Linked DNA regions of Xenopus tropicalis. The protein of the gene in region 5 purifies or fractionates together with the protein of the main gene of each other region. This does not show direct contact. Links are inferred from orthologs where the notes say so. Each region holds a gene or a part of one and is shown on either strand. Other genes may lie near its edges.

Evidence for each region.
Region 1: the proteins of rbpj (region 5) and maml1 purify together in Homo sapiens (co-immunoprecipitation; 12 studies listed by BioGRID and IntAct, counting the BioPlex papers as one, with this or other methods). This does not show direct contact. The link is inferred for Xenopus tropicalis from reciprocal best matches to the Homo sapiens genes RBPJ and MAML1.
Region 2: the proteins of rbpj (region 5) and fhl1 purify together in Homo sapiens (affinity purification with western blotting; 4 studies listed by BioGRID and IntAct, with this or other methods). This does not show direct contact. The link is inferred for Xenopus tropicalis from reciprocal best matches to the Homo sapiens genes RBPJ and FHL1.
Region 3: the proteins of rbpj (region 5) and fbxo42 purify together in Homo sapiens (affinity purification with mass spectrometry; 3 studies listed by BioGRID and IntAct, counting the BioPlex papers as one, with this or other methods). This does not show direct contact. The link is inferred for Xenopus tropicalis from reciprocal best matches to the Homo sapiens genes RBPJ and FBXO42.
Region 4: the proteins of rbpj (region 5) and notch2 purify together in Homo sapiens (affinity purification with mass spectrometry; 3 studies listed by BioGRID and IntAct, counting the BioPlex papers as one, with this or other methods). This does not show direct contact. The link is inferred for Xenopus tropicalis from reciprocal best matches to the Homo sapiens genes RBPJ and NOTCH2.
Region 6: the proteins of rbpj (region 5) and rita1 purify together in Homo sapiens (affinity purification with mass spectrometry; 4 studies listed by BioGRID and IntAct, with this or other methods). This does not show direct contact. The link is inferred for Xenopus tropicalis from reciprocal best matches to the Homo sapiens genes RBPJ and RITA1.

The regions. Positions count from the first base shown.
Region 1 is NC_030679.2:12,091,845-12,095,807, forward strand, and holds the start of maml1 (mastermind-like protein 1), read right to left. Parts: upstream 2,801-3,963; 5' UTR 2,475-2,800; coding exon 2,145-2,474; intron 1-2,144. UniProt on the Homo sapiens protein: Acts as a transcriptional coactivator for NOTCH proteins. Has been shown to amplify NOTCH-induced transcription of HES1. Enhances phosphorylation and proteolytic turnover of the NOTCH intracellular domain in the nucleus through interaction with CDK8.
Region 2 is NC_030684.2:68,791,434-68,795,466, reverse strand, and holds the start of fhl1 (four and a half LIM domains protein 1), read right to left. Parts: upstream 2,801-4,033; 5' UTR 2,736-2,800; coding exon 2,714-2,735; intron 1-2,713.
Region 3 is NC_030683.2:132,640,700-132,643,963, forward strand, and holds part of fbxo42 (F-box only protein 42), read right to left. Parts: coding exon 3,208-3,264; intron 1,266-3,207; coding exon 1,169-1,265; intron 1-1,168. UniProt on the Homo sapiens protein: Substrate-recognition component of some SCF (SKP1-CUL1-F-box protein)-type E3 ubiquitin ligase complex. Specifically recognizes p53/TP53, promoting its ubiquitination and degradation.
Region 4 is NC_030680.2:117,858,467-117,862,761, forward strand, and holds the end of notch2 (neurogenic locus notch homolog protein 2), read right to left. Parts: intron 4,257-4,295; coding exon 4,109-4,256; intron 3,108-4,108; coding exon 3,010-3,107; intron 2,737-3,009; coding exon 1,402-2,736; 3' UTR 501-1,401; downstream 1-500. UniProt on the Homo sapiens protein: Functions as a receptor for membrane-bound ligands Jagged-1 (JAG1), Jagged-2 (JAG2) and Delta-1 (DLL1) to regulate cell-fate determination.
Region 5 is NC_030677.2:32,051,653-32,055,152, reverse strand, and holds part of rbpj (recombining binding protein suppressor of hairless), read right to left. Parts: intron 2,802-3,500; coding exon 2,664-2,801; intron 2,473-2,663; coding exon 2,360-2,472; intron 1,845-2,359; coding exon 1,704-1,844; intron 997-1,703; coding exon 841-996; intron 1-840. UniProt on the Homo sapiens protein: Transcriptional regulator that plays a central role in Notch signaling, a signaling pathway involved in cell-cell communication that regulates a broad spectrum of cell-fate determinations.
Region 6 is NC_030677.2:145,154,659-145,158,845, reverse strand, and holds the start of rita1 (RBPJ-interacting and tubulin-associated protein 1), read right to left. Parts: upstream 2,801-4,187; 5' UTR 2,530-2,800; intron 1,900-2,529; coding exon of another isoform or gene 1,873-1,899; exon of another isoform or gene 1,868-1,872; intron 548-1,867; 5' UTR 508-547; coding exon 230-507; intron 1-229. Other genes in the region: ATP-dependent RNA helicase DDX54, read left to right, coding at 3,049-3,168. UniProt on the Homo sapiens protein: Tubulin-binding protein that acts as a negative regulator of Notch signaling pathway.

The DNA.
Region 1 (3,963 bases), on a different chromosome or scaffold from region 5:
CTGTGTGTTTTCACCCTTAGTCCAACATGGACATGTGCAGATGAGTGTTCCTGCTAGCTGGCTGAGTATAAACATACAGACAGGCTATCCTGTTCTAACTACTTGCTCCAAGAGAAAGTTGAACCTGTGAAAAATCCTGGGTCAGAGCATATGCCCAATACAAGCTCCGGGCTACAATCCGGAGAAATCCCTTCCGTGCCTCAACAAGGGTGAAGACACACAGAGCTACTAGTAGCAGCTACTTGTCATGGCTATTAAAATAGACAATGCTGACCATTTACTGATAATTGTCTCTACATGTGTTTAAGCAGAGGCAATTCTCTGTATTGTCTATGGCAGGGTATTTTCTGGTATTTAGTAGCCCTAACAAGTAGCTGCTACTAAGTAGCTCATATGCCCAATACAAGCTCAGGGCTACAATCCGGAGAAACCCCTGCCGTGCCTCAACAAGTATGTATAAGTAAGGGTGAAAACACACTGAGCTACTAGTAGCAGCTACTGAAACAGACAATGCTGATCATTTACTGATAACTGTCTCTACGTGTGTTTTAGCAGAGGCAATTCCCATTATTGTCCATGGCAGGGGATTTTCTGGTGTTTAGTAGCTGTAAAAAGTAGCTGCTACTAACTAGCTCATATGCCCAATACAAGCTCAGGGCTACAATCCCCAGAGCTACTAGTAGCAGCAGCTACTTTTTCCCTGCTACTAAATGCCAGAAAATCCCCTGCCATAGACAATACTGAGAATTGCCTCTGCTAAAACACAGCTAGAGACAATTATCAGTAAATGATCAGCATTTTAGTAGCCACAAGTAGCTGCTACTAGTAGCTCCGTGTGCCTTCACCCTAAGGGCTCTGGCACACAGGGAGATTAGTCGCCCGCGACAAATCTCCCGTGTCTCAGGCGACTAATCTCCCCGAGTTGCCATCACCTGCCATCCCACCGGCGAAAGTGTAAGTCGCCGGTGGAATGGCACACGTGGTGACGCGATTTCAGTGAGATATCGTGCAAGTTGCCTCGAGAGGAAACTTGCGCGATCTCGCTGAAATCGCGCCGCCGCGTATGCCATCCCACTGGCGATTTACATTTTCGCCAGTGGGATGGCAATCCGGGGAGATTAGTCGCCCGAGACACGGGAGATTTGTCGCGGGCGACTAATCTCCCCGTGTGCCAGAGCCCTAAGAGTTTAAAGGCCACAGAGTAAGAAATCCTTGCCATGCCTCAACAAGGGTGAAGACACACTGAGCTACAAGTAGCAGCTACCTTTTCCCTGATACTAAATGCCAGAAAATCCCCTGCCATAGACAAAACAGAGAATCGCCTCTGCTAAAACACATGTAGAGACATTTATCAGTAAATCATCAGCATTTTAGTAGCCACAAGTAGCTGCTACTAGTAGCTCCGTGTGGCTTCACCCTAAGAGAGTTTAAAGGCCACAGAGTAAGAAATCCCTGCCATGCCTCAAAAAGTAAGGGTGAAGACACACTGAGCTACTAGTAGCAGCAACTTTTTTCCTGTTACTAAATGCCAGAAAATCCCCTGCCATAGACAATACTGAGAATTGCCTCTGCTAAAACACACGTAGAGACAGTTATCAGTAAATGATCAGCATTTTAGTAGCCACAAGTCGCTGCTACTAGTAGCTCCGTGTGTCTTCACCCTAAGAGTTTAAAGGCCACAGAGTAAGAAATCCCTGCCATGCCTCAACAAGGGTGAAGACACACAGAGCTACTTAGTAGCAGCTACTTGTCACGGCTACTAAACACCAGAAAATCCCCTGCCATAGACAATACTGAGAATTGCCTCTGCTAAAACACACGTAGACACAATTATCAGTAAATGATCAGCACAAGTCGCTGCTACTAGTAGCTCCGTGTGTCTTCACCCTAAGGGTGAAGCCACACGGAGTTACTAGTAACAGCTACTTTTCTTGGCTACTAAAACAGACAATGCTGATCATTTACTGATAATTGTCTCTACATGTGTTTTAGCAGAGGCAATTCTCAGTATTTTTGGGAGTTTAGTAGCCTTGAAAAAAGTAGCTGCTACTAGTAGCTCCGTGTGGCTTCACCCTAAGAGTTTAGAGTAAGAAATCGCTGCCATGCCCCTGCAGGAAGATCGCAGAAGCCCTGCCGTCACTTACCGCGATGAGAGTGCTGTTCCTACACTGCTCGCCATTGCCGCCGCCGCCTCCGTCGGTATCCAGGCTGCCGGTAGTGCTGGGATTCCCCCTGCCCGGGCCGGACTCGGCGCTAGAGACAGCCTGCTGCCTGTGCTTCCCGGCCCTCTTGGCCTTGGCCTGCAGGCAGCGCTGGTGTAACTGGAAGGTATGCTGCCTCTCTAGCTCCAGCCTCTCCCCAGCTAAGGCTTCGTATCGCGACTCGCAGGTACCGTGGTGCCGCCGGCAAAGCTCTATCCGTCGGCGGAGGCGCTCCATCACGGCGCTGTGTCGGGGGACCACAAAATCCGCCATCTGTGGGGAGAGGTGAAGCCGGACTATTACGGGAATAGCACTCTCATACCCCCGGCCTGAGGAAAAGCCTCCTCTGACAATGGCAACACTTTCCCCCCCCCGCACGGTATCCACTTCTCTCCCGCCTCGCAGCTCCCCCTAACGCCCCCGCCGCCCGCTCGCCATTGTTATCCGAGCGTCCGCCATCTTGAAACTACTCTTCTCTCGGAGTAAAAGGGGTGCAAGCGTCACGGCTGATAGGCAGAGACCGCCGACCAATCAAACCTTGGCGTGGGCGGAGCCCAAACAGTGACGTCTGTGTTTTGTAAACGGATCTTCGGGAGCAGTGTTTTGCCTACGGTAGGCGGAGAGGGGAAAAAAAGGTTGAGGATGCGGAAAACCAATCCAAAGCGAGCGGTAGTGATTGGCTGACGTTGAAGGGTGGAGCTTTGCCAATTAGAGTTTAGCGGCTCCTCCCTGAGTTTGCTCTAGATTCCCAGCTCAGAAGCAAAACAAGTGGTTTGTGTATTTTTTTTTTTTTTCTTTTGGAACAAAGATCAGATTCTGTTGAGGCACTAAAAATAGCAGGAAGGGCAGCTTCTTCTGATGAACAAAACTGAAATCAACACAATGCTCTGCTGCAGCTATATTTAGCTTGAAAACTTTCCAGGCACCCCCTGAGCTTTAAATGGTACATATTTTTGATATATTGTTCAATTTTTAAATGCCAAGGTATTCCTCAGCGCTGTATGGTAGCAAAAGATTCACAGTACATGCCCTGGCTTGAACAATATAAAATACCCCAAAATTTACCAAAAGCGAGGTTAGATCATACCTCCCAACATTTGAAAAACAAAAAGAGGGACAAAAAGATTTGGCGCGCGCGTCGCGGCAAAATTTTTTGGTCACGCCCACTTTTGTGACCACGCCCCAATTAACACACGCCATTTTTTTCTAAAAATACTCCTTTTATATAGTTGAAATGGCGGGATCAGATGCAAATGTGCTATACCCTCATACTGTACTACCTAAGGAAGCCCACAGAGCCCCCCATACACAGTGCCCCCCCATATACAGTGCCCTTCATACACAGAGCCCCCATATACAGTACCCCCCATACACAGTACCCTTCATACATAGAGCCCCCCCATATACAGTGCCCCCCATACACAGTACCCTTTATACACAGAGCCCCACCATACACAGAGCCCCCCCATACACAGTGCCCCCCATACACAGAGCCCCCCATATACAGTACCCCCCATACACAGTATCCCCCCATACACAGTGTCCTTCATACACAGAGCCCCCCATATACAGTACCCCCCATACACAGTACCCTTCATACATAGAGCCCCCCCATATACAGTGCCCCCCATACACAGTACCCTTCATACACAGAGCCCCCCCATATACAGTACCCCCCATACACAGTACCCTTTATATACAGTACCCTTTATACACAGAGCCCCACCATACACAGTGCCCCCCCATACACAGTGCCCTTCAT
Region 2 (4,033 bases), on a different chromosome or scaffold from region 5:
ACGCGGAAGAAGGAATCGCTTGCTGCAGGTACCCCGGGCTGGTGCTGTTTTCTCCTAACAGGGGCACCAGCCCGGGGTACAAGGTAAGCGATTTAATTCACTTGGGGGTGCCTAACATTTTGGCACCCCAAGTGACTTAGCCTTTCCTTCTCCTTTAAAAATAAATTCTACGTCTCCAAAGTTCTTCCTGTAACTTCTTATTATTTATCTTGATCTGTTCCTTCTGATTATGCCTGGCCTATCAGGGTGCCAAGAAAACCCCTTGGTGGACCCAGGTGATTGGTGGTTTTGTATGCCTATATCACTGCCATTCCTCATTCCTGTATGAGAAAAGGGGATATAGAAACTATGGAGAGCAGGATAGATGAGTGTATGTAACATAAATAAGGTGAGTAAATAGTAAATCAAAAGTATAGACAGTAGGGCTGTGATCCAAGCCTTTCTGGTAGGCCCCTGGCATCTCAGTCCAACATTGCTAAACATCCTCAGTCCTGCAAGGGTAACTAGTGATTTTAAGAAGCACTGAAAAGGGCCCATCTATAAGAAACTGTGTGGTTTTGGTCTCCAGTTTTTTTAAAGGGATGTCATTGATAAAGGAAGGTTCAGAAAACAGTAACAAAACTCAAAGGATATGGAAAGTCTAAGACATTAAAAAAATACTGGCCAAGTTGGGTTTGTTCCAAAGGAGAACCAGTGCTTTTAGAGTTAGGATCACTATTTATGACTATATGGAAGGACAATACAGAGGATACAAGGGCATCCCATGAGGTTTGACTAAAGGAGGTTGCCTTTTAGAGTACAAAAAGGGCTTCGATAACAGAATAAAAGTATGAACTAACCCTTTATGTAAATTTGGCCTGGACTTGCAGATCGCAAACAATTTATCCCCTGACATCTCTTTGTATCCTAACAACAAACTGCTCCAAATAAAAACCTGGCCAGTTGCTTGGAAGGCTTGCCTTATGTCAGAGGATATCTAGAGAAAAGTGACAGATGCAGTACAAACAATGGCGTGCCTGAGTTCTGACGGAGCTGTCACAGGCTGCATGATAAACCCCACACAGCATTTGTCCGCTCCATATCAGAGTCATTTATTTAGGATATGTTTGCTCTTCAGCCTGTTGCCCAGACAACAGCTAAACCTTGCACTGTGGAGCTTCAGTTGCCATTTATGAACAATGAAGTCATCTTTATTGCCAATTACTGCCCTATTATTCATATATTCCCTAACAGGTTACATGCTAGGTTTTAACTGAATCTATAAAAGAATCAATCACACAATATAAAGGATAAGTACTGAGAGCACGCTAAGCTCCAAGAGTGATATGCTGTAGTGCAGGTGAGGGCACAGCAGACTTGGTTTCCACTGGAATTCCACACTGTGTCCCATTAATAGATGAGACCCACATTCTCCTAAAGACCTTATGTTTATTCTCTTCAGAGCGTAAGTCATATGAATAAACACTAATCTACAGATAAATAAGCCTTACTGCAAGGAAGGATTAGTGTAACTATACTTTAGTAGAAATTTTGACTTATTAATCAGCATGTGCATTACAAACTCAGCAAAACAGGTATGAAAAAAGTTCCAGGGGTGCTGGAGGTTTGTTTGTCTATTTGGTAGCCCCTATACAATCTGGCAGCCTACAGAAGGTTCTGTTTGGCTTTACACTGGGGTTTTTATGCAACAAAAACTTAATTAAAAAAATTAAAAAAGCTTAATTAAAAAATAAGCACCTGCTTTGAGGCCACTGGGAGAAACATCCAAGGGGTTGGTGAGCAACATGTTGCATACGAGCCACTGTTCGGGGATCACTGGAATAGCTCAAAGAGCTCACTGGCTTATATAGGGGTCTGATATACAGGGAAAATGGCCTGAGACACTACAGATACAATAGAAAGGCTAAACAGGCTCATTGCAGTATCAGTAAGAACAGAGGAAAAGGCAATCACCAGAAATGTCTTTACCACACCATTTACTCAGTCATTAAGGGGTTAGGTGGAGTGTAAGAAAATGTTAAATGAATGATCAATAGATACAAACATCAAATGTGTCTGATCTGTAATGGCATACAGTATATTTATATTTATTCTTTGTTTTCCCTTGATATAGGTCACTAGGTGTGACCAAAACGTTGGGAATTTAAATAAAGCCTTTTTGATTTTTTGTAAAATTCCTGTTGAGTGTGAAACCTTTGATTTATATACATATATATATACTCATATACACATATATTTATAGCTATGCTACAGAAACCCATTGGAAGCAATTTAGCACTTTGTGGTCTGAACACACACAGGTTATTGTAATCTGATCATGTTTATCTGCTGTTCTAGTGTCTCAGCTGTGTAACACATTGACACGTTGATGCAAAAATCAAACTCTAAAATACACTAACTTACTCAGCTATACCATCACTACTTCTAGCTGTGCCTAATATCCCTTTTAAATACACAAAATGAAAATTAGTCTCCATGCTTCAAAATTTAATCTGCAACAGATACCTCAAACCCCCACTTGCATCCTGTCTGAATACATAAAAATTGTGTAGAATATAATAGGATACACTTTAAAACAATATTCTGTTCATAAATATTTGCTGCAGTATGTAAACACTGTCATTTGGTCACATATTTAAATCTCATGTATAATACACTGCACAAATTATTTATGAGTTAATAAAATAACAGAGGAAGTTCTACATTTATTTACCTGAATGCCTTTCAAATGCCATTTGGGAACGAGAAATTCACAAGCAGCCTCCTTAGCCAAGTGGTCTGTTCTTTGGTTGATACCAAATGTACTGTTTGATAATGTATGTATACAGGGAGCTATTAATAAGGAGTCAGATGCAAAATGTTCACACCCCCCTCCAGGGATTTCTTGTTTAATCCTACTTGAAAAGCAAGACCATTTTTGGTTATCTTTTGAGAGAAGAATAGAGTCCAGAAAAAATCGTGTACACATAAAATGCCCATGCAACTACTCAGATTTCTAAATTAGCCACCCCATGAAAACACAGGAGTTCAAGCCCTAAGGAAACCTAACACCCCACTTAAATATCACAGAACATTTTCCCTGCCTCAGATGAAAGTTCAGGACACAAGTCCACTGTAAAATAATATTCCAGTGTTTGTAGATTTCTGCCAGGTATATACATCCTTATTTTGTTTGGAGTATAAGATATGAAGTGCTTTTCTTAAATTGGGTTGAGACCCTCACTGTTCTTAATACATTTACCATAGTGAAACTGAGTGATAAACTATACAATATGAAGCTGAGTCAACTGATTTAACCTTTTAACAGACCTGTCTTTATAAGAGGACAAGTAGTAGCAACTGCTTTATGATCATCTAAACAATGGCCAAAGGCCAAACAAATGTAAAATGCTGTGCTCTGCATCGCCAACAACAAACACTGGATGGATATGAAGTGCAATATGAATACCTTTATTGAAAGAGATCTCAAATCAATCCCTAAACAATATACAATAGTAATAAAAAATAAAATACATTAGATGGACGAAACAGCACCCTCTCTTATCCCACAAAAAGATTGTAGATGGGGCCCCTCAAAAAGGCTAAGATATTTTAGTTAAGTAGAGTGATGTTCAAATAATAATAACAGAAATGGGAATTGTACTCATCCAGCTGTACATAATTATGAATCTATCACTCCTCACTATAAGAGCACTTAAGGCATAGTAGATACACAATATAGTACAAAGTAAAATCAAAGATTAAAGATACATGACAAATAAAAACCTAATTTTCCTATTTCCATCTGGAAATTTTAACATTATGCAACAATTATATATTTTTTTTAAGTTATGAATGCCGATAACTGCAGTATATATATATATATATATGTATAAAACAACATGTTATAAATGTCACACTTCTACTTCATAGAGCATATTGAGCTTAGTGGGACAAGCACGTGGGTTAAACTCACAGCCAGTGAAAGAACATTAATGCAAAGACATTTCTGCATGTGCATGGTGCACAGGGGATGAATTATTCAATTTTCTTA
Region 3 (3,264 bases), on a different chromosome or scaffold from region 5:
AGCAGGAAGTACAGAGAATCAGAGCTCTGTACCTGGGTAAGTACTGGGGGGAGATTGGATTCACTTACCATGGGGGAGGTTCCTGCCTGACCATGGGAAAGAGAGCAGCCCAGGAGCAGGAAGTACAGAGAATCAGAGCTCTGTACCTGGGTAAGTACTGGGGGGAGATTGGATTCACTTACCCAGGGGGAGGTACCTGCCTGACCATGGGAAAGAGAGCAGCCCAGGAGCAGGAAGTACAGAGAATCAGAGCTCTGTACCTGGGTAAGTACTGGGGGGAGATTGGAGTCACTTACCCAGGGGGAGGTTCCTGTCTGACCATGGGAAAGAGAGCAGCCCAGGAGCAGGAAGTACAGAGAATCAGAGCTCTGTACCTGGGTAAGTACTGGGGGGAGATTGGATTCACTTACCCAGGGGGGAGGTACCTGCCTGACCATGGGAAAGAGAGCAGCCCAGGAGCAGGAAGTACAGAGAATCAGAGCTCTGTACCTGGGTAAGTACTGGGGGGAGATTGGATTCACTTACCCGGGGGAGGTACCTGCCTGACCATGGGAAAGAGAGCAGCCCAGGAGCAGGAAGTACAGAGAATCAGAGCTCTGTACCTGGGTAAGTACTGGGGGGAGATTGGATTCACTTACCCAGGGGGGGGGTTCCTGCCTGACCATGGGAAAGAGAGCAGCCCAGGAGCAGGAAGTACAGAGAATCAGAGCTCTGTACCTGGGTAAGTACTGGGGGGAGATTGGATTCACTTACCCAGGGGGGGGTTCCTGCCTGACCATGGGAAAGAGAGCAGCCCAGGAGCAGGAAGTACAGAGAATCAGAGCTCTGTACCTGGGTAAGTACTGGGGGGAGATTGGATTCACTTACCCAGGGGGGGGGTTCCTGCCTGACCATGGGAAAGAGAGCAGCCCAGGAGCAGGAAGTACAGAGAATCAGAGCTCTGTACCTGGGTAAGTACTGGGGGGAGATTGGATTCACTTACCCAGGGGGGGGGTTCCTGCCTGACCATGGGAAAGAGAGCAGCCCAGGAGCAGGAAGTACAGAGAATCAGAGCTCTGTACCTGGGTAAGTACTGGGGGGAGATTGGAGTCACACCAAATATACCACAACACCAATCACTGCTCTAGCCTGGAAATAGTAATATCTGCCCCAGCAGTTGGGCACCTACCTGAGATTGCCCGCCACGAGGATGAGGACAGGAACCAGTAATAGTGGGCTTAGACCATGACCACTGCTCCAGGTCCAGTACCCACACATCATTGCTCCTGGGAGGGGGGACACAGATAATGGGGGTACAGTAAGTAACTAAATGCCCCACAGGACTGAGGAATAAAGTGACAGAATCTGCTACAACCCCAATACCACAAGGTCACTTATATGCTATGGGGCAGAGTAAGGCTTACTACTGACTGGCTGCTATGGGCAGAGTAAGGCTCACTACTGACTGGCTGCTATGGGCAGAGTAAGGCTTACTACTGACTGGCTGCTATGGGGCAGAGTAAGGCTTACTACTGACTGGCTGCTATGGGCAGAGTAAGGCTTACTACTGACTGGCTGCTATAGGGCAGAGTAAGGCTCACTACTGACTGGCTGCTATGGGCAGAGTAAGGCTCACTACTGACTGGCTGCTATGGGCAGAGTAAGACTCACTACTGACTGACTGCTATGGGCAGAGTAAGGCTAACTACTGACTGGCTGCTATGGGCAGAGTAAGGCTCACTACTGACTGGCTGCTATGGGGCAGAGTAAGGCTCACTACTGACTGGCTGCTATGGGCAGAGTAAGGCTCACTACTGACTGGCTGCTATGGGGCAGAGTAAGGCTCACTACTGACTGGCTGCTATAGGGCAGAGTAAGGCTCACTACTGACTGGCTGCTATGGGCAGAGTAAGGCTTACTACTGACTGGCTGCTATGGGGCAGAGTAAGGCTTACTACTGACTGGCTGCTATGGGGCAGAGTAAGGCTTACTACTGACTGGCTGCTATGGGGCAGAGTAAGGCTCACTACTGACTGGCTGCTATGGGGCAGAGTAAGGCTCACTACTGACTGGCTGCTATGGGCAGAGTAAGGCTCACTACTGACTGGCTGCTATGGGCAGAGCAAGGCTCACTACTGACTGGCTGCTATGGGCAGAGTAAGGCTCACTACTGACTGGCTGCTATGGGCAGAGTAAGGCTTACTACTGACTGGCTGCTATGGGCAGAGCAAGGCTACTGACTGGCAGAGTAAGGCTCACTACTGACTGGCTGCTATGGGCAGAGCAAGGCTTACTACTGACTGGCTGCTATGGGGCAGAGTAAGGCTCACTACTGACTGGCTGCTATGGGCAGAGTAAGGCTTACTACTGACTGGCTGCTATGGGCAGAGTAAGGCTTACTACTGACTGGCTGCTATGGGCAGAGTAAGGCTTACTACTGACTGGCTGCTATGGGCAGAGCAAGGCTTCACTACTGACTGGCTGCTATGGCAGAGTAAGGCTCAACTACTGACTGGCTGCTATGGGCAGAGTAAGGCTTACTACTGACCTGGCCGCTGCTATGGGCAGAGCAAGGCTCACTACTGACTGGCAGAGTAAGGCTCACTACTGACTGGCTGCTATGGGCAGAGCAAGGCTTACTACTGACTGGCTGCTATGGGGCAGAGTAAGGCTCACTACTGACTGGCAGAGTAAGGCTCACTACTGACTGGCTGCTATGGGCAGAGCAAGGCTCACTACTGACTGGCTGCTATGGGCAGAGTAAGGCTCACTACTGACTGGCTGCTATGGGCAGAGTAAGGCTTACTACTGACTGGCTGCTATGGGCAGAGCAAGGCTCACTACTGACTGGCAGAGTAAGGCTCACTACTGACTGGCTGCTATGGGCAGAGCAAGGCTTACTACTGACTGGCTGCTATGGGGCAGAGTAAGGCTCACTACTGACTGGCAGAGTAAGGCTCACTACTGACTGGCTGCTATGGGCAGAGTAAGGCTTACTACTGACTGGCTGCTATAGGTTACTATAAAGCTACTTGCTAACTGGTTGCTGAAGGCTGCAGCCGATTGGTTGCTGTTGGTAGAGTTCTGCTAGCTGCTGTACCACTAACGCTATCTGCTGATTGGCTGCTGCTTGGCCCATGCCAGTTGTACTTTCCCATCTCTCCCCGCTCAGTGTAAGTTCTGCTCTAGTCGAACGAATAGGCAAGAAAATAGAAAATATCTACTCACATTTGGCGAGAGCCCAAGGAGCCCCCAAACACTATCATCTTATCTCCAATGACGCAG
Region 4 (4,295 bases), on a different chromosome or scaffold from region 5:
AAACAGAATGAAGAGTAGAAGCAAACTGAAAGAGAAACCATCTTGTCATCCCACTCTGTACTCCCTCATACCGCACCCACACTCCCATCTTATTCCACATGTACTCATTGTAGAATTATGGGGCTTATTAATCAAAATTCGAGAATGCTTTTTCCCAGTGATTTAAGATTTATGTTTGAAAGGAAAAATTCAGGATAGTTCCATATCAGCTAAATGATGCCACTTCTCTTCTTCCTATGATATATATATATATATATATATATATATATATATATATATATATATATATATATCTAGCAAATGCTGTATTGGGTGTTCTGGGATTAAACTGAACAATGCAGCACCATATAAAGTAAGTACAGAAAATAAAATATGCAGAAAAACAGAGTACAGCTTCCTGCACGAGGTGCTTTTGGCAGACAAACTAAAAAAGTGGAAGAACAAAAGGAGGCTTTGTTTGGCTAAGTGCTTTGCGTCCAACTGCTCAGACCGTGCCAGAGTACTGGAAAAGTTCTTTACTTTCTATAAAACACACAATAATGAGCATTTGTAACAGACAAAAAAAAGGTAGAAAAGATCAGACGTTTATATTAAATACAAGTCGATGGCTGCTCGTTAGATTCCCGCGTCACGACATGTCCGCATATACATAAACCTTCCCAAAAACATCACGTGACATTGTAACAGAATCCACTGGGCACAGAAGTTGCTAGAACATTTCTGCTGCCAAACAAAAGTCAACTTTTTCCTTTTTTTAAATACAGCATTAAAAGTGGAATGAGCTGGATAAGTTATAAAAGGAATATTGACATAAACTGGTATTAAAAGGCTGAGAGTACAAAACATTCAAATGATATTTTACATTTAAACATGTAGTTATATATATATATATACACATACATCCCTTGTAAATGGGACTGACAGGTGCTCCCCGCCTGTGGCTAATTAACAAGTTGCACATCTACTGGAATGAATGTGAATTTGCACATTGATTTGATCTTCAGATATTCCAGGTGAGCAAGAAAAGTACAGACGCGCCAGTGTGAGCAGTGCAATGTCTCCTGAAAGGCTATCTCACATTTGGACTGACCCTTGTCTCTAAATAAGGCACTAAAAATGTTCTTTGCGCCCAGATGTTGAAAAATTGATCTGAGCAGTTTCTGTTTTTACTAGACATTGTATGAATTCAGTCTCGATCCTTTGTTCAGACAGGAAGCTTTAGTACAGTCTGTACAACACTTGTGTTATATAACAAAAAAGAGCACCTGCAATTGAAATAGGTACCTGTGTGGTACAAGGAAATACATAAACAGATGCTGCAGATGAAGCAACTTCTGAAAGTATAAATTGCCTCCAATAGCCTTCATTTGTTCAACGATTAAACGTAAATTGCACCGTGTCCTATGCATAAATCTGCATGCCATTGTGTGATTGTTCAGGCATATGTGTGGCAGGCATTCTTTGATTGCCATTAGGGGTCGGACTTGTAGTTACATCTGACCAATCAGAGGCAGAGTTAGGTGAGGAGCTGGACCACTGATCTGGAGATTCTGGTGAAGGGGTCAAGTAAGGGTGCTCTCCGGGTAAATGTCCATTATGGTTTGGGGTTTTATCAGTGGAAGTGTAGCTGTGTTGTGATGGTGGGGTTGGATATTTTCCCATTGGGTTCTGAAGGGGATGGTAAGCTGTGAGCATAGTTTGAGATAACTGTCCATCATGTTGATGCATCATTGCTATAGGAACAGAAGAGCCAGTGATCCGTGCTCTATCAGGAATCTGATACATGGCAGCCACATTCTGACCATGACTAGCCTGCTGCACAAGTGTCTGGATGCCAGACTGCTGGTTCATTCCACTCTTTGGGATAAGCTGGAAAGTCATAATAGGAGGCAAAGCATCCCGAGCCACACCCATATGCAGTGTTGGCTTGATATCTGCTTGGATAATACCATTTTGTTGAGGAATACATGAGTGGTTATTTGTGTCATGGTGGACTATACCAAACATTTCATTATACTGGGTGTCATTCCTTTCCATGCGGCTCAGCCAATCAGATGACATAGTGAGCTGTCTTTGTGCTGTAAGAACATTATTTTGAGCCGAGTGTGATAACAACTGTCCAACAGAAGGCAGCATATTATTGGCTGCACAACCAACGGGCTGAAGATTAGTTAAAGACATTGTTGTGCGTGGTGGCTGCAACGTAGAGGCTGCAATCATCTGTCCAGGGGACGTATGCAGCGCTCCAGGAGATGTAATGGTAGGAGATGAAGTAGCATGGGGGGATTCAAGAGAATCCACAGGGGATAATGTTACTGAGCTTTCAGAAAGCTGCGCTTTACTGTCAGTATCTGACTTTTTCCTCCTCCTGTTTTTGGTATCTTTTGGTTCTTTGGCTAAGTTTGGAAGACTTCGAGGTGCTACACTTTTGGCACTTGGCCTTCTGGCCTTCTTTGTTTGTGCGGCATGTTTCAGGTTCAGGAAAGATCTGTTGGAGCCACACACTGCTGGCGACAGGGAATTTGAAAGCATTGTACCAGGCTGTCCTTGTGGGCTGTGCACCAAGTTATACTCGTCCAACAGGCGCACAATGTCATGATGCATTCTGTCCTTGGCAATGTCACGGGGAAGACGATCCATATGGTCAGTGATTTCTCGGTTTGCAAAGTAATCCAAAAGCATTTTGGCTGCTTCAAAACTACCCTCTCTAGCAGCAAGAAACAAGGGTGTTTCTTCCTACATCAACAAAAGAAGAAATATAGTTATCCATTGTGATACTTTCTACTAAAGGTACATTAAACAGCAGCAGGGTACATATTTCACACTTAATGATGAACACTTCTCTAAACAAACATGCAGAACGCATTTTGCCAGATTCCAAACATTCAAAATAGTTAAATCAACCAAATTTCATCTATTTTCCTTAAACTCTGGACCAGCAGAGAGCTCGGAAATACTGCAACATGTCTATATGCTTTAATATCTAACAGCACATTCCAAGATGTTTACCTTGTTGTCTTGCATATCCCTATTTGCTCCATTCTTTAGCAGAACAATTGTAGCCTCAACATTGTTTACTGCAGCAGCCCAGTGAAGTGCAGATTTACCTGTAGGTGGAAAAATCATTTAGATATGGCAAAATGGCAAACTGCAATAAAATATGTCTGATAATACTAGTCAGTCTTTGTACAATGTATAGAAACTATCATCAGTATCATGTCAGTATTGGTAAGGCTTACAAAGTTGACAGAGGCACAGTCCCTGGATAACAATAAAGAAAATATACAGGTGGTAATTATTTCCTAAGGTCTCACTTTTATGGACTTCTACTTGTCCTTTATTATTTACATGTAAAAATGGGTTTTGCAAGATATATCTTCTAAAACCACTATAGGTCAGTTCCCTACTTCGGTAATGCTCCTACCAAACACAGTAAAACTAAATTAGAATGGATATAAACATGTTTCTAGTATAAAAAAATAGAGGTCCTGTTGGAAGCTGCACAAGCTCCAAGGTTTGCTCAGGAGCCCATTGTTTCATTATAGGCATCAAGACCTCATTTACAGTTATGATCTAAGAATCCTTTGATGGAAAAGCGTAGCTGTTAGACACCAGAAACCACAACATAACAAAATATTACAGGTTGCAAAGGCCCCTTGTAGGAGAACACATCCAATGCATGTTCATACTAAAGACTTTATTCTTATATATCAATCTGTTTTGTAGGAAGCTCCTCTGGAACAGTGTTCCTGCATGATACCTAACCATAATAAGAAAAGACAAAAATGGCCAATACACAAGCCACACAGAGGTCTGTCCAATAAAATAGAGAAAGCCTGCACAGCCCATGATTTCTAGAGAGAACTGAATTTTTGAACAGCAGACAGAGCAGACACCTTGATGGTGTGGACATTAATAAAAAGTAAGCATTTTCCTTGTGTGCATATTTCCCATGTAGAGAAAAATCAGCTATAGACCCTACTTTCATGTACCCAGAAGGCTGTCCTTCAATGCGGTCTGATGATGATCCTCAAACAATTCCAGAATGCTTCCAGAGAGCTCCAGCAATATGGTTAAACTAATCTGACAGCATGATTTGACTTCTTACCATGATCATCCACTGCATTAACATCAGCCTGGCAGTTTATTAAGTCTGCAACCATCCCTTCCACAGCAAGGCGGGCAGCTAAGATGAGAGGGGTTGTACCATCATTCATCCTCGCATCGAGGTCTGTGACTCTGTTACGGATCAAAATCTATTAGAAAAAAGAGAATAAATAGGTTAGTTCCTTTGG
Region 5 (3,500 bases):
TTTGGCTGCAGTGCAGGTGTTTTTCTTTCTGTTGGGACCTCAACTTAATATCCTCATTATCTCATGATCAGGTAACCTATGGCTGATCAGTAGCAGCTGCTGATTAAACTACAATTCTCACAGTACCTTGTGTAAATAATCAAGGAGTAGCTTGAACAAGGTTAGCTCCCAGACAGAAATAAGAGGGTAGTATGTCAGTTAATATATGTTTAAAGGGCCAAAAACATAAAAAAATCCTCTTTATTATCTCTTATATCTATTCAATGTGGATAGAAAATTACAAAACTGAAGTTATAATTATTATTACTGATATTAGAAAGTAAGTGAGCACCTTTTTTTAAAACTGAGGGTATCTTCAAAATTACATAGAAGTCATGAAAATTACACCCAGAAAGCAATTGCAAATTAGCTTTAATTTGACAGCATTGTAAAATCATTAAGCTGATATTAAATGATTCCAAGCAATGAAAGTAGTTTAGAGTTCTAAACAGGGCTGTGGAGTCGGAGGCAATTTTGGGTACCTGGAGTCGGAGTCAGCAAAAAATGAACCGACTCCGACTCCTACTAAATTTAAATGGGAATAAAAAATAAAAAAAATAAAGCAAGTTTAAATGTCCCAAGTCACAAACAGTCATAATTAATTACTTCTCTGCTATAAGAATAAAGCCCAATGCACGCAGTGCATAAACGAACACGTTGAGTGACCATGAAGCATGCTTTTCATTGACTGTATGAATGTATAAAATACATTAACATATTAAAAACAGAGGAGTCGGAGAATTTATCTACCGACTCCACAGCCCTGGTTCTAAAAGGCCATACAAATGCAGTTTACTTTACCTGAAGGCTTTCTACTACAGGCACTGGAGTCACTGGAGCATTTACTGGCCCCATGCCTTCATAGAAAGTGTATTCTGCCTTATCTGTGCTAATGATTGTCCAAGAGGCACCATCGTTAATCATCTCTTTATTTGGTTCTTTGGGACATGGAGTGGCCTGAAACACAATGTGTAAACAGGTCATATACTTTGCATATAGCATCAGAATTAAACATACTCATAATGATGTAACTGTCAGTATAATAAAGAAATGCCTTATGTCAATTAATTGAATAGCAGGCCAAAAATTCAAAAAGGTGTCTCTCCAGCTGGAACATGTCGGTCTTTCTGTAAAGGTAAATTCAACAAGCACCAATACCCTGCCTAGCATGCATATGAAAGGTGCCACCCACTGCTTGCACTCCAAAAGCCTTACAAGTTGGCACAAGTCACGCAAAGTTGAACTTAGAGTAAAATATTGATTACTTTACCTTTTAGTGTTCCTCGGAACTGAAAAATATATTACGTACTAAACTGGTCCTAACTTTAACAGTGAAATAGCTCAGAGACCTGTGCAATGAACAATTGCGGTGTGGCTAAACTGACTTTCTCTGGTGCTCTGAACTTGCCCATGGCTAAAGAGAGGAGGGACTTTCTAGTAAGTTAATACTTCTGCAAGGTACAGTATTGCACCTCCTTATTAGTTCTGTGGTGCTGCCAGAAATCAACTCTAAAATTGCAGAGAACTCATACAGTCTTGCGCAATGTTAGGGAGCTGCTTGCTTAAAAAATCCCAGAGACCAGTGGAATCAGCTACATTTGATTTCACCAAAGACATAAAAAGACTATGTAACAGAGCAGTAAATCTTTCACATCCCTACTCACTTGAAACTGGATAATTCTTTCCTGAGAAAGGCACAAGTACATTCTTTCTGTATCCTTCAGATAAAATGCACATTTATGGAGCTGGGATACAGGATCATCTGCATCTAACAATGCCGTCTGTTTATCCACTTTGCGGATAATCTGCAAAAAAGACAAGAATTATATTTTTACATCAGCATTAATAACATAGTTAAGCTGGCCAAACACACTGATATAATCGAACAAAACTACATTTCATATGATTTTCAGACAGTGTGTGGGCTCAGAATTATCGCCCCTATAATTTTCATTTCATGCCAATCGGTCAGGTTAGAAAATTTCAGTCATATAACAATAGAATCTATGCACGTGTTGTGTATCTGACAATATCCTAGGGAGACCTACAATGCACTTCTGGGACATCACTTTCGTATGATTGGCGTCCGCAAATTTTATGTTCAGAACATCCTCTGATTTGTTATTTTTAGGACTTTATCCTACAATTTCAATCTGAATGTTAGTTTTAGATTTTTGCATTTAAATATATGATCGATATCCGATGTTCACCGTAAAAGAAGTCTAAAACCTTGCACATGTATGTCCACATTTAGAATTCGTAAACCTGTTTAAAACATTTTGATCTGTGTGTAATTTAAAAAACAAAACGGATAGTTTACCAGTCGTGGGAGTGCCATGCCAGTTACCGAACATACAAGCTTCACCGTCTGTCCATAGTGAATGTAACCGTCACGCACTGTGAATTCCTCTCCTTCAGACTCTTCGTCATCCACTAAGAAAAGATGGAACACACACAATCAGTTGTAGGACTATTAGATCTCATACACATGGTGGGCATATTTCCAATTGCCTATCCACTTTTTCTACAGTGCAGTTTTGCAAACCACTGCTTTAGAGAAAGGTTAATTCTACAGGCTGTCTTTCAACAACAGACAATCTATTTTGGCTTTGTTGACTACTTACAAAGGTGAATGTAGAAAGCTCCCCACTGTTGCGAGCTGGCGTGGAAGTTGCCGCCTTCTACGTGCAGATATCTTGTGCTGACTGTCTGTGATCGCAGCCGGTTAAATAGTGCCACTTTTGTCCCTGACGCAATACATACTGAAACATAAAACATATTAATATAGCTGAATAGGCAAATCCTTTATGCCATCATCTAAAAGCAACCTCTGCACTAAGCAAATCATATTTAAAATATACACCATAAATATGGCAAGGATAGGCTACAGATATAGAAGGCCACCACTAACATACTTACTGTCCCTTTAAATTCTTCCCTGAAGTATTTGGTACATTAACTACAACAATACTTATTTTGTATCAATAATGCAAAAAGATCAGTAACAAATTATACCTTTATTAAATGATTTATTTTCCCTTTTCTTAACTGCTTTCTTTTAAACAATACAACTATATACACCCTATTCCCACTGTACGCATGAAGGCCTCACTCAGTTCTGATGTAAACAAAGCTCAACCTTTTAACTACAACGCAGGTATAAAACAAAACAGAAAGCATCTAAACATTTAAGGGAAGCAGTTTACTGTGGACAAAAACACACCCTTATGTGCAAGTGTAAAGTAGCATTCTTCATTGAAAACAACAGCTGCGCCCACAGCTTTGCCTTTAGTGTAATGGCACATGGAATCACCCCCATTCAAACTCGATGGGAACTGCCACCAAGCGCCAGGTCCTGTCTAATGACAAATATGTATCACCCAAAAACATACGCTGCAGCTATGGGTCAATAAGTTCAAACAGATTTATCAGTAAAGTAAAACCTGCTGCTATCTAAAACA
Region 6 (4,187 bases), about 110 Mb from region 5:
TTTTTTCCCATTCGTGATTCGGATTCGTGGATTAGTAAATATGCCCCTTAGTGTTAGAGGACAGGAAGTACAGATGTAAGTGGCATTTGTATCACATGCTCCATAAGAGTGACTTTAACATAAATATATATATTGATGTCTACAAAGCAGGACACTTAAAAGATTAGAGGAGAATATTAGAAACATCACTCCTTTTCAGGATCAATAATTAGCAACGGTCCAAAAGTACCTGTACTGAATCTTTTTCCTGGGAGTCCCTGGTGGAGTGCTTTTAGGCCTACAGCTTAAGGTGTTTTTGTTGTTTTGTATTTCTCCTGGGCTCCACAGAAGGGGTGTCTGACAAGGTGGTGCAGTGTTCCACTTTACAGTTTGATCCACTCTTACCCCAGAGGTACCAAACAGAGTCTCGTCAACATAGGAGTTGGCAGCTTTGAACCGGTAAGCGCTTCTGCTTTTGCGCTGTGGAAGTGCAGTGCGATGCCCAGTTATAGAGAGATCCAGAGACATTTCAGAAGCAGGCCTAAACTGATACTTGTTTAGATGTCTCCTAAAAATATAGAATAACTTAATAAATACAACATTTATTTAAACATACTATACAAAAAATGCATTGTTTTCATATACTAATAATGATCATCTATTTATGTTCACTTGTCTATATATCATATATATCCTGTATCATGTATAAGCAGATAAAAGACATAGACAGCAGAACATGCATTTTTATCCCAGAATTTAGGCATCGTTGTGATAGCAAAGGAGTGATGCTCTTGACGCAATTGCACTGTGGCTACCTTAAAAGGATTGTTCACCTCCAATGTCCAAATCTTATTAAACCACCAACAATGCTCTCTTTAGAAAATATCTTCAGTTGCAAATTTTTTGTTATCTTTCTATATGGAAAAGATTGTTCTATTAATGTGATCTGTTACATTTGTGAATGTTGTACAAAGGTGAACAACCCTTTTAATTGTATCTGATTTGGCAAAACTGACAGAACTTGCCATGTGCTTTGCAGCAAATTGGGAGCACTGCACAGAATTTTTCAAAGTCTACCTGGTGTTGTGATGCGTTTGCCCTATACTCCTACTGAAACTAAACTGTGGTGATTGATGTAGGGCACTGACAGGGCCAGATTTGGGCAAGGCCACAAAGACCCAGACCTAGGGTGGCATAAATTTAGGGGCGGCATTCCGGCCAGCCACATGTAGATGTTGCTCACATGTGGAGCACTAAGGACGGGACATGCAGAAAACTGCAGCTATTACCGTCCCCAGTGCTCCGTATGTAAGCTAAAAGGACGGGCATGCACGCAATCCTGTGGGGGGGGGGGAGGCTGGAGAATGGGGGCAGCCTATGGGCACCCTAATCAGAAATCCAGCACTAGGCACTGAGGGAGATCTAAAGCTACCGCTTGGTAGGCTACCCCTGTGTCAATAGGTACAGCAGCGCTCAGTTCTAAACGGAAGGCAGGAAGGGCCAAGTGTTGCCAAGCGTTACTAAAGTGCAAGGAGTGCATTTTGACACAAGTACCTTTAAAGGACAATGAAAGGTTAATATAAATTAAAAGTAAGTCTAAAGGCATTTTTTTTTAAGTACTTACTGCATATCTAAATTCCCAGATCCCTGCTTGCTTCTCTGAGATATGGTGCTGGCAGCCTACAGCAGTGTGAAGCCTACAGTGACATCTCTGAAATCTCTCTCCTTCCTATTCTCTGAGCATGTGTACAACCTAATCCTGTCTCCTGTTCTGAGCTACACATACCCACCAGCCAATCAGAAGCGGATCTGGCAGAGGGGAGGGGGGAGGGAATGAAACACATGTGCAGTATGAAGCAAGGAGGGAAAGGAAGGGAGAATACCTTTTTAGAGATGGCTGCCTGTTCTAGAAAATGTGAAGTAAGTGTGACTGAGTAAATATTTGATTAGGTGAGCCAAAAGTGTGGCGTTTTTACTAAACAATAGGAGGACTTTGGGCAGTATGCTTTTTAAATTTTGACTTGCATTCTCCTTTAATGAAAGTGGTTTTCCATGCAACTGACTGGGAGGGAAAGTGCAGGGACCGCAGCTGCACTTGCGGACTTACGTAAGCCCTATGAAGTACTTGCCTCCGCTGCCATTCCAGTTGGATGTTAGGTCTAATTGTGCAATTTAGCTTAACCATTTGACCAAAGCTGTAGCACACTACCCCATAAGCCTGACTAAATGTCAGTACAGGAAACTATAACTCAAAAAACAGCAATACAAATCAATACATGCAAATATTCTTTAAGCAACCTTGTCCAATCAAATGTTTTAATGCAGTCCTTGCCTTATAGGATTTTCAACCAATGCCAAACAACATTTGGCTAGAGTTCTGTCACACAAGTTGCAGTTTCTGAATACAAAACACTTGGCTAATCTCCAGAAAATAAAAGGCTACACTAGTGAACTGGGCGGGGAATTTTGAGAACTGAGTAGAAAATGAGTATGTATCAATGAATATAACCATAACTTTTAAAAATGTAACTTTATGACTTGAAGTATTACCTGATGGCAAAACGTTTATACCATTGGCATCATGTTAGGCACATGCAGTCGATAGACTTGCTGCAGGCAGCCTCTTTCAGCCGACGAGATGAGTGTATACATGCAGCTATACAGGCAGCTATACAGGCAGCTATACAGGCAGCTAGAGACAACTGTGTGTAACACGCTCTGCCCAGCTCCCATGGTAATGATACACATTACAACTCGGACTCACCCAAACCCGAGAGCAGGGACAGAGGTTACACAGTGTATCGCATTTCTGTATTTCAGCTCCTCATCCGTTTTGCAGTGCAGAAATGTGGCAGCAGAGAGCTGGCAACAGAAGTGCGATAGCAACACACCGTCCCCTGTTCACTGACACCAAGTGGTACATTCCAGGAAGTTGTACTCAATCCCTTCCGGGTGTCTGTGAGACACGTGGGGGATAGACGTGCTCGTACATTCAGAGGATCGCTGATGGTCTGGGGTTAAACTGAGCTATTTTAAAGACGATATAGATATAGTCTTAGAATTGCGGAAATGGCTCAGAAAAAACGTAAGGGACAGCGATCTCGGAAATGCTGTCAAAACCAAGAGAGCGACGAAAGCGACACAGTGGGATTTCGTGTCAAAGCTGCACCCCAAAAGGAGGATGGAGTAGTAAGTGCGAACTGGCAATTGTAGCTCGCATGTTCGAAATTAGTTTCTCAGGATTCAAGCAACTAAGTTACCATCTGTACTCAGAGTAATTTTGCAATTGAGTGCCGCAGAAATCTTTCAGGGCACTGTAGGGTTAATAGATTCTGTGAGGGGAAAGTGCTTTGTAGTTTTCTGGTGCTATATAAGTCACTGATATTATGTTTTACCGAGCAGTATTACTTGACAAAAGTCAACACCAGTATCACTTTTATTATCATGATATATATTTCAAGCTCATTTCTTTCCTAACCCCCTAAGCACAGGGTGCTGAGGAACTTCCAGTATATATTAATTGGAAAACTGAAACGTTAAAGTAGAGCTGGGCGGTATGACCAAAAATTTATACCACGGTATTTTTCAAAATTATATCGGTGTCACGGTATTTGACGGTATTTTTTTTTTCCCATGCATGATTAGGTGTTAACCCCATTTCCTAATAAATTAGAGAATAATTACTGCAGTATTGAAAATCAGAGTCAGGCAAGCGAAGGATCGGCAACAGAAAGTCGTAAGGTAAATCAGGCAGGCTTAGGGGCTGATTTACTTACCCACGAACGGGTCGAAATGAGTCCGATTGCGTTTTTTTCGTAATGATCAGTATTTTGCGATTTTTTCGGATTCTTTACGAATTTTTCGTTACCAATACGATTTGCGCGTAAAAACGCGAGTTTTTCGTAGCCATTACGAAAGTTGCGCATTTTTCGAAGCGTTAAAACTTACGCGAAAAGTTGCGCATTTTTCGTAGCGTTAAAACTTAAAAGGTGCAAAGTTTCGCGTAAGTTTTAACGCTAAGAAAAAAGCGCAACTTTTTGCGCAAGTTTTAACGCTACGAAAAATCGCCAGATTTTACGCAACTTTCGTAATGGCTACGAAAAACTCGCGTTTTTACGCGCAAATCGTATTGGTAACGAAAAATTCGTAAAGAATCCGAAAAAATCGCAAAACATACGAAAAAGTCGCAAAATGTTCGTTTTCAAGTC